Canis lupus familiaris: one gene and its partner. The protein of the gene in region 2 interacts with the protein of the main gene of each other region in a biochemical or structural test. Links are inferred from orthologs where the notes say so. Each region holds a gene or a part of one and is shown on either strand. Other genes may lie near its edges.

Region 1 (4,102 bases), on a different chromosome or scaffold from region 2:
CCAAGTTGCTTTACCTCTCTGAGCCTCAGTTTCCCTATCTGTACAATGGCCATATTGCCATCTTCCACGGAGGATTATCATGAAGATTCCACCAGAGTGCAGGCAAAGCATTCAGCACGGAGCCTGGTGCTCAAAGAATGATGTCCATCGTCACCATCCTGTGTTCATCCTGCTCATCATTTCCAGAGGGAGTCCTCAGAAAGGGACCAGACTGACTCTTCAATTTAGGGACCATCCTGGTCCTGGAAGAGGCAGGGGCCGCTCAGCAACCTTGTGGGCACAGCCTGTTCCCTGGCTGACTAGGCCTTGGGCTGAATACTTCCCAAGGATTCTTGTAGGAGCAGGGCCCTGGGAGTGGACACTCTCACGCCAAGCTAAGCACTTCACATATACATCATCTCACTGAATCCACGGAACCACCCGAGGATCCAGATGGGGACGCTGACACTCAGAGTGTCATGTAGCTGGGAAGAAGTGGGATCAAGCCTGAACTCTTAGCCGTGGTTTGGAGTGATGGGGACAAACAAATGGGTTTAAAAACGTAGCCAATACTACTAAACACCTGCCCAAAGCCACATACCTAGCAAGATCCTTTAAATCCGGCTTCCCCCTGACTATGGCTGCATCCTCATCTCCTACAATTATCATTTGTCTTCAATGTCTTCCTGCCATAGGACCTTTCCATGTGCCATTCCCTCTGTCCCAAACTGTACTTTCTTGCTGATCTTTGTGTAAACGGTTCCTTTTTATTTGAGTTTCTGCTCCATTTTGGCCTCCTCAGAGAAGCCCTCCTGGTCTCCCCTAAGGAAACGTTTCCCTACCCTTCCCCTGACTCTCATGCCACTGTGTGTCTCCCCCTCAGGAACATGAGCCTCTCTGGGTCACCTCTAAGTCCCCAAGTCCTCTTGATCAATGAATTCTTGCTGAACGAGTTAAAATGCCTAGACTGTGCCAGCCCCTTTCCGAGGACTAGGGGGATCTTTCCACCTAAAGTTCAAAGAACTGATGGCATTCCTTCTCCCTTCTAGACTGACCTCACAACCTCTTTCCTGATGCGCCCCTCCCTCATCTCCCTTCACCCTTTGGAGTATGAAAGTGGAATCCCAGGCAACTAGAAGGGAAGCTGCATCAGCCACTTGCAGGAAGGCTACAGGGGGAGCACTCCGCTCTGTCTTGCCCACACAAGACTGGACCCAGGAAATAGACATGACTTCCAGCATGCTCTGCGGTCCCATCACCTGTCACACTCCCCACCAGATGGAATTCCCCCCAAGTGCCTGCGTGGGGGCTGCCACCATGCTGGCAGATGTCCCAGCTACAAGGAACCCCAACTTCCACCAGTCCAAATACAAGGCACCAAGAGGTCACTTGGTGACAAAACCGGGGCGGGGGGAAACCCAGGAAAGAAAGAGGGGAATCCCACCTCTCTCACGTTAGCCGTGGGGTTGAAGTGCACTTAAAACTTTCTGAAGTAGACTATTTACACTGGATTCAAAATGAAAATATAAAAAATTTACTGTGAAGAGCTCACCCCCTCTCGGTCCCTTCCACCAAATCTGCAAGTATTTGCTATTCTTACTTCCTTGCGGATCGTTTGAGTTCTTGATGCAAACAGATCACAAGTATAAGCTCTTAGTATTTTTAAAAAGTGTTGCATGTTATATGCCCTACACATTGTGTATACTACACACTTTTTCCTCCAGTCACGGATAGTTCTGTGCCTGTCCACGAGAAGATGTAACGCAGCCCCATGTGATGTGTGCGTCTGTACAGCCAAGGAACCAACCCACCCCCCCACCCCAGGTACTGGGGGGCTTTCTGTCATTTTCACCGGACAGAGGTGTTTAGAGTTGGGGTCAGCAGGGGTCACGCGCGGCTGGGTCCCGGTCCCCCCACCCCCCCACCCCCCCAGGTGGTCAGTCACGGCCCGGTGGGCTGCGCTGAAGTCCAAGCAGGTGGCGGAGGCCGGCTCCTTCCCGGGAGCACCTTCCGCAGCTCGCACCGCCGGCGCACGGAGCTCCGAGCTCCCACCAGCAGGACGTCCATTCTGGAGGCGGAAACGGAGAGATGCAGTGACTAGCCCAAGGTCACACCGCCGGACGCCGCGTGCGCGCGCGGGACTCCCCTCCCGCCGCCGGATCGCCCCGGGCCGGCCCCGCCTCCTCACCGCACCCCACGGCGCGGGCCCAGGGTGGAGTCCGCGGCCCCCCTGCCCCGCACCCCCGCGGTCGGCGCGGCCAGCCCGGCGGGGCGCGGGGTGCAGGGCGCGGGGCGCGGGGCGCGGGGCGGCCAAGGTCGCGGGGCTCCGGCCACCGGCTGCGCGGACCGGCTCACCCCAGCACCGGCGGCCGCCCGGGTCCCGCCGACTTCGAAACTTTCCGGCCGCAGAGCCGCGGCGACTCCAGCCCGGAGCGGGGCGCCCCCACCGCGGACGCCGGCCGCCTGCCGGGGGGGGGGGGGTCCCTCGGGGCCGCAGCCCCCAGCCCCGCCGGCTCCCCGACACTTACTCAGCATCGCCGCAGCCCGCCAAGCGGCCGGCGGGGACCCATTTGCGGGAGAGGGAGACTGAGGCGCGGACGGGGCCGGCTGCGGGCCAAGGTGACACGGCGCGGCGGGGGGCGGCGGGGGGCGGCGGGGGCCGGGGGCGGCCGGGGCCGGGGCGGGGGCGGGGGCCCGCGCGGTACTCACAGCCGGTCTTGCCCACGAGCTCCCGAACCTCCTCGGACGCGGAGTGGGCCGCGCCCATGGTGCCCGCGGCGGCGGCGGGGCCCCGGGCTGGCGGCGGCTGCGCAGCGGGGGCCGCGTCGGGCGGGCGCGGGTCGGGACGCGGGTCGGGACGCGGGGACGGCGGAGCCGCGGGTTCCGCGTGGGGCGCGAGCGCGGCCTCTTATAGCGGCCAAGGGCGGCGCCCCGCGGTCCTAGCGCGCGCCGGCTTCGCGCACTGCGGGGATCCGGGAGCGCCCTGCCCCGCGGCCGGCAGCGCTGCGCGGGGGCCGGACCTCGGGGCCCACCGCCGGGGCGCCCCCGCCCCCAGGGCGGCCGCCCTGCTCGCCCGCGCCCCCCCTCCCGGCTCTGGAAGGAGGCAGGTGTCCGCACAGCTGGGGCGTAGGTGGGCGCAATCAAATCCCGGAGAGGTTCCACGTCCACCTGCACCCCGGTTCCATCACACAGCTTCCCAGATCTCAGAAGGGGAACTCACCCGGGACGGTGAAGAAACACAGCCAACATTAATTAGCTCTCTGGTGAACAGCAATAAAAGTAATGTAATCATAGTAATCCACCTTGAATGCGCACAAGGTGCTTTGCTGGTCTTATTCCCGGAAAGCCCCAGGCCCCTCCCCAGCACCTTGATGAAGCGGACACACCACGTGCCAGAGCGGCCCATCCCAGTGGCACAGCCCAGGAGCTTGGGGTGGGGGAGCTTTCAAACTTGAGGAGCAGGCAGCTTCCTGGCCCTGCCCCACCCCGCCCCGACTCCCACCCAACACCCCCATTCTGGCTCAGGCAGGACCCAGGAGGCTGGGTCTCAAACTATCCTATCCGGGGAATGTAATACAGGTGGCCTCCAACACGCCTGCGAGTTTTGCCTTGAATTGGCTTAAGGAATTGGATTCTGTGGTCAGGCTGGATGACCAGGGCCAGTCCTGCCACCTGTGTGACCGTGTTTCCTTCTACTCAGCAAGGGGACAGTGATAGTTAGTGAGATGTCCATCAGAAGGGCCTGCCACAGGACATGGCACAAAGCAGTTGCTGTGGAATCACGTCCATTTTACAAGGGAGGAACTGATTCTCAGAAAGGTCACACAGCCAGGGCAGAAATTCAAAGTCAACATTCTCTGGTTCTCAAGGCCAGACTACCGTGCTCCACGGTGCCTGGTGATGAAGCTATCAACGTTCAGCATGTATTCAGTGTACGTCCTGGGTGCCAGGCTCCGTGACATTGCCAGGGTGGGGGCATGGGCCACTTGGTGCTCACAAAGACCTGGGTGGGCCCACCTACATTAGTTTCACAGAGCACTGGGGAAAGGGTGCTGAGAACCGGTTGCCCATACCTATAGACTACAGGCCCAAACTGAGGGTCGCAGCCCTCCAGGGGAATCCT
Region 2 (3,500 bases):
TGTTTCTCCACCTCCTAGACCAGGAAGTAAACAGTCACTGTAATGCTATCGTCAGACGTTTACGTGGCAGGTCACATACTAGAAAGCCCTTGGACAATGGCTATCCTGCTAAACACACAACAGCCTCATGAGGCAGGCGACCCAAGGATGCCAGGTTCCTTTCCTACACTGAAGCTCAGAGTGGTGGAGTCCTCAATGGCAAAACCAGACCCAGAACTTGTTCCCTGACAGCAGTGGGTAGGCTCTCCTGGAGAGGGGCAACTTTGAGGCTCTGCCTCTACTTAGGGGCTGGCTCCCTGGCTACTGGACCTACTCCTAGCCAGCTCTGCCAAGAAAACAGTTGGGCAGTTTCCAGGCCTGGGGCCGCTGAGAGAGGGAAGAGGGCCTGAGAATTGCTGAGAAGGAACTCTCCAAAGCCCCTGCTACTTACAGGCAAGGAGGCATGGGCAGGGGTGACCTGCTCCAGAGCAAAGGCCTGAGACCATGCAGCCCAGGGGCTCCTTCTGCTTTAATGTTGGGAAAGAGTCACACTCATGCCCAGAACTCTAGAAAGGGCCTGACTTGGGCCAAGCAAGAAGGGGAGATGCCAAGCACTGGCCTGACCCCAGTGCTGCCTGGGAGCTGGGGCAGGGCTCCAGCAGTGGACAACAGGTGCGTTCTCAGCTCTAGGCCACCTAAACTCACTCCTGGCCTGAGGAGATTCATGGGTTCTGAGGGTCTACCATCTGGGTCAACAGGGCAGGTAGAGAGGGCAAGCTCCTCCTTTTCCACCAGGTTGTACTATCAATGGGACTACAGAGGCAGCGCAGCATAGTGGCAAGTGTGTGCATTCTGGACTCCCACTGTGTAGGTCCCAGGCCCAGCTAACATACCCCTGGACGAGTTCCCTGTTAGTAGCTATTTCCTCACTTGGAAAAACTGGGGATAAATACAGTGCCAACTTCATGGTGTTTCTGTTTGGGTTAGATGAGGCAATACATATTCAGACAGGAAGTGCTCAGACAGGAAGTGAGCAGGAGCAATTAACACCAGCACTCCCACCACCTGGGGAGGTGTGGCCAGCAGCCCAAGGTGGTCTTGATATAACCGCACCCCACTGTTTCCCAGGAGTGCCAACCTGAACCCAATACTCAGATCCAACTGGAGAGGGCTTGGTCTTTGGTACCCACTGGTGTGACTCCTATAAGAACCCAGGGAGAATGACAGGCTGGGTACTGCAATCCTTGTTACAGATAGAGAAACTGAGGCAGGAGCTGGTGCTAGAAGGACCAGCACCGAGGCCTGCCTGCTTAGACCAGACTGCTGTGCTGCCCCACAAGGACCTAATGAAGGCAACAGGGGAGGAAGAGGACAAGCCAACCACCACTGTCTCTTCTCTGAAGTGTGGCTTCCTGAGGGACTGGGGGAAGGTAAAGAGGGAATGCATGTGTGAGTATGCACTGGCATGCACACGTGTCCTTGTGTTTTCCTGTGTGTACAGCTGCTCTCTGAGCAGTCCAACTAGGAGGAGAATGGGGGTATTTTCACAACATGATGTGAGTGTGCACATACACATATCTGTTTCCTGAGGAAGCTAGCTGGGAGGAAGGGCATGTGTAAGCACGTACAGTATGGCCATGTGCGGACCGCGTTAGGAGTTCCTGTCCTTGCTAGACCATAGGAGGAAAGTACTACCTACTCGGCTACTTTGCTGCTAACAAAGGTGAGGCCCAGAGAGGTACAGTCACTTGCGTAAGGTCACATAATAAGCAAGTGGCCAAGCTCAGGTCAATCCATTTATTTATCACTTTCTGGAGGTTTGTGTTTTTGTTTTTATAATAAATTTTATTTTAGTTTTTTAAAGTAGGCTCTATGCCCAACATGGGGCTAGAACTCATGACCCTGAGATGGAGAGTCATAGGCTCTAACAGATTGAGCCACGTAGGCACCGTTTCTGGATGTTCTGAGGGCAGGGTCCCTTTCCACCACGGCTGCCCCTGAACTCTACACAAACTGAACTGTAACGTAGGGCACAGCCAACATGATGGCTAAACTGGCCCTCATAGACTAAATGGCCTATAAAGGGTAAACTGAAGTCTAAAGATGATACATAATTTAACCAAGTTCACATCACAGTCCAAGTCAGGGACAGAACATATGGCCTGGGAAGGCCAGGAGCTCAGGCCCTGAAGTCCCTGGCTTCTAACCCTGGTCCTATCACATGTTAGCAAGGTATCTGACTTCAGGGGGCCTGCTGCCTCCTCCATAAAGTGGGAATAAGAAGCACCTCCTAAGGTCATCACAAGGATTAAATGAGATAATCCACATCGAGTGCTCAGCACGATGCCTGGCACACAGCAAGCAGGAATGGACATTTGCTGTTTCGCTACTATGATTAGCAGGTGGATGTGGGATTCGCTCTGGACCCGGATTCGGGTCTGAGCCCCGGGTGCATGCGGGTGTGGCCACTGCTCCTCACCACAGTGACGGCGTCATTGAGCAGGGACTCCCCAAAGACAAGGATGTGCAGCAGCTCATTGATGTGGATCTCCTCGAAGACGGCCAGCACGGCCACCGGATCCACGGCGGAGATGATGCTGCCGAAGAGCAGGTTGTCCAGGAGGCCGATGTTGTTGATCTGCTCACCGCCCACCAGGCACACGGCGTACATGAGGCCGCCCAGGAAGAAGGCATTCCACAGTGTGCCCACCACAGCGAAGATCAGGATGGTGCCCAGGTTCTCAGTGAACTGCCGCAGTGGCAGGAAGTAGCCAGCGTCCAGGATGATGGGTGGCAGCAGGAAAAGGAAGAAGACGTCTGATTGCAGGAAGGGGGGCGTCTCGCCCACGCCCTTGATCAGGCCCCCCACTAGCAGCCCCACTACGATCAGCAGGCAGCTTTCCGGGACAATGCTCGAGATAGTGGGGATCACGTGGAAACCTGCAGAGGGCAAGAGAACGGGAAGCCGTGGGCTTGCGGCGAGCCAGGACACGAGGCTGGGGATGGGGCTGGTGACAGCAGTGCAGGCTTGGCCTCAGAGGGCTGCTCTGTTAACTCCCTGAGCCTTGGCCTCCTCACCCATGATGTGGAAGTGGTAATACCAGCTTCCCAGGGTTCGCTGTATAAACTAAGTGATGATGCTCTTAAAATGTTTTTTTCTAGGATATATAGATGTTATCTCTGTCTCTGTCATAAAAGAGTAGAAAGAAGTGGCTCTGTATGCCTCCGGAAGGCAGAATGATACATTGCTTACTGAGGCCCCAGGTATCTAAGGGCATTACCTACACCTCCAATCCTAGACTCATGTGCTCTCCTGCTGAGTCCAGAGAGCTGCTCAAGAAGCCAAACAGAGATCAATCAATTTTCCATGTGAGATAAAACCTATCTGCCATCCTGTTTCTAGCCTAATCCTATCCACTTTAAAGATGGAGCAGCTGAGGCTCAGATAGAGGAAGGGACTTGCCCAAGGGCACACAGCAAATCAGTAGCAGAACCAGGACAGAAGCCAGGTCTGGCCTCCC

What was found.
Region 1: the proteins of SLC9A1 (region 2) and TESC form a complex in vitro, tested with the Homo sapiens proteins (4 studies listed by BioGRID and IntAct, with this or other methods). The link is inferred for Canis lupus familiaris from reciprocal best matches to the Homo sapiens genes SLC9A1 and TESC.

The regions. Positions count from the first base shown.
Region 1 is NC_049247.1:14,024,603-14,028,704, forward strand, and holds the start of TESC (calcineurin B homologous protein 3), read right to left. Parts: upstream 2,801-4,102; 5' UTR 2,747-2,800; coding exon 2,689-2,746; intron 1-2,688. UniProt on the Homo sapiens protein: Functions as an integral cofactor in cell pH regulation by controlling plasma membrane-type Na(+)/H(+) exchange activity. Promotes the maturation, transport, cell surface stability and exchange activity of SLC9A1/NHE1 at the plasma membrane.
Region 2 is NC_049223.1:72,484,607-72,488,106, reverse strand, and holds part of SLC9A1 (sodium/hydrogen exchanger 1), read right to left. Parts: intron 2,920-3,500; coding exon 2,459-2,919; intron 1-2,458. UniProt on the Homo sapiens protein: Electroneutral Na(+) /H(+) antiporter that extrudes Na(+) in exchange for external protons driven by the inward sodium ion chemical gradient, protecting cells from acidification that occurs from metabolism.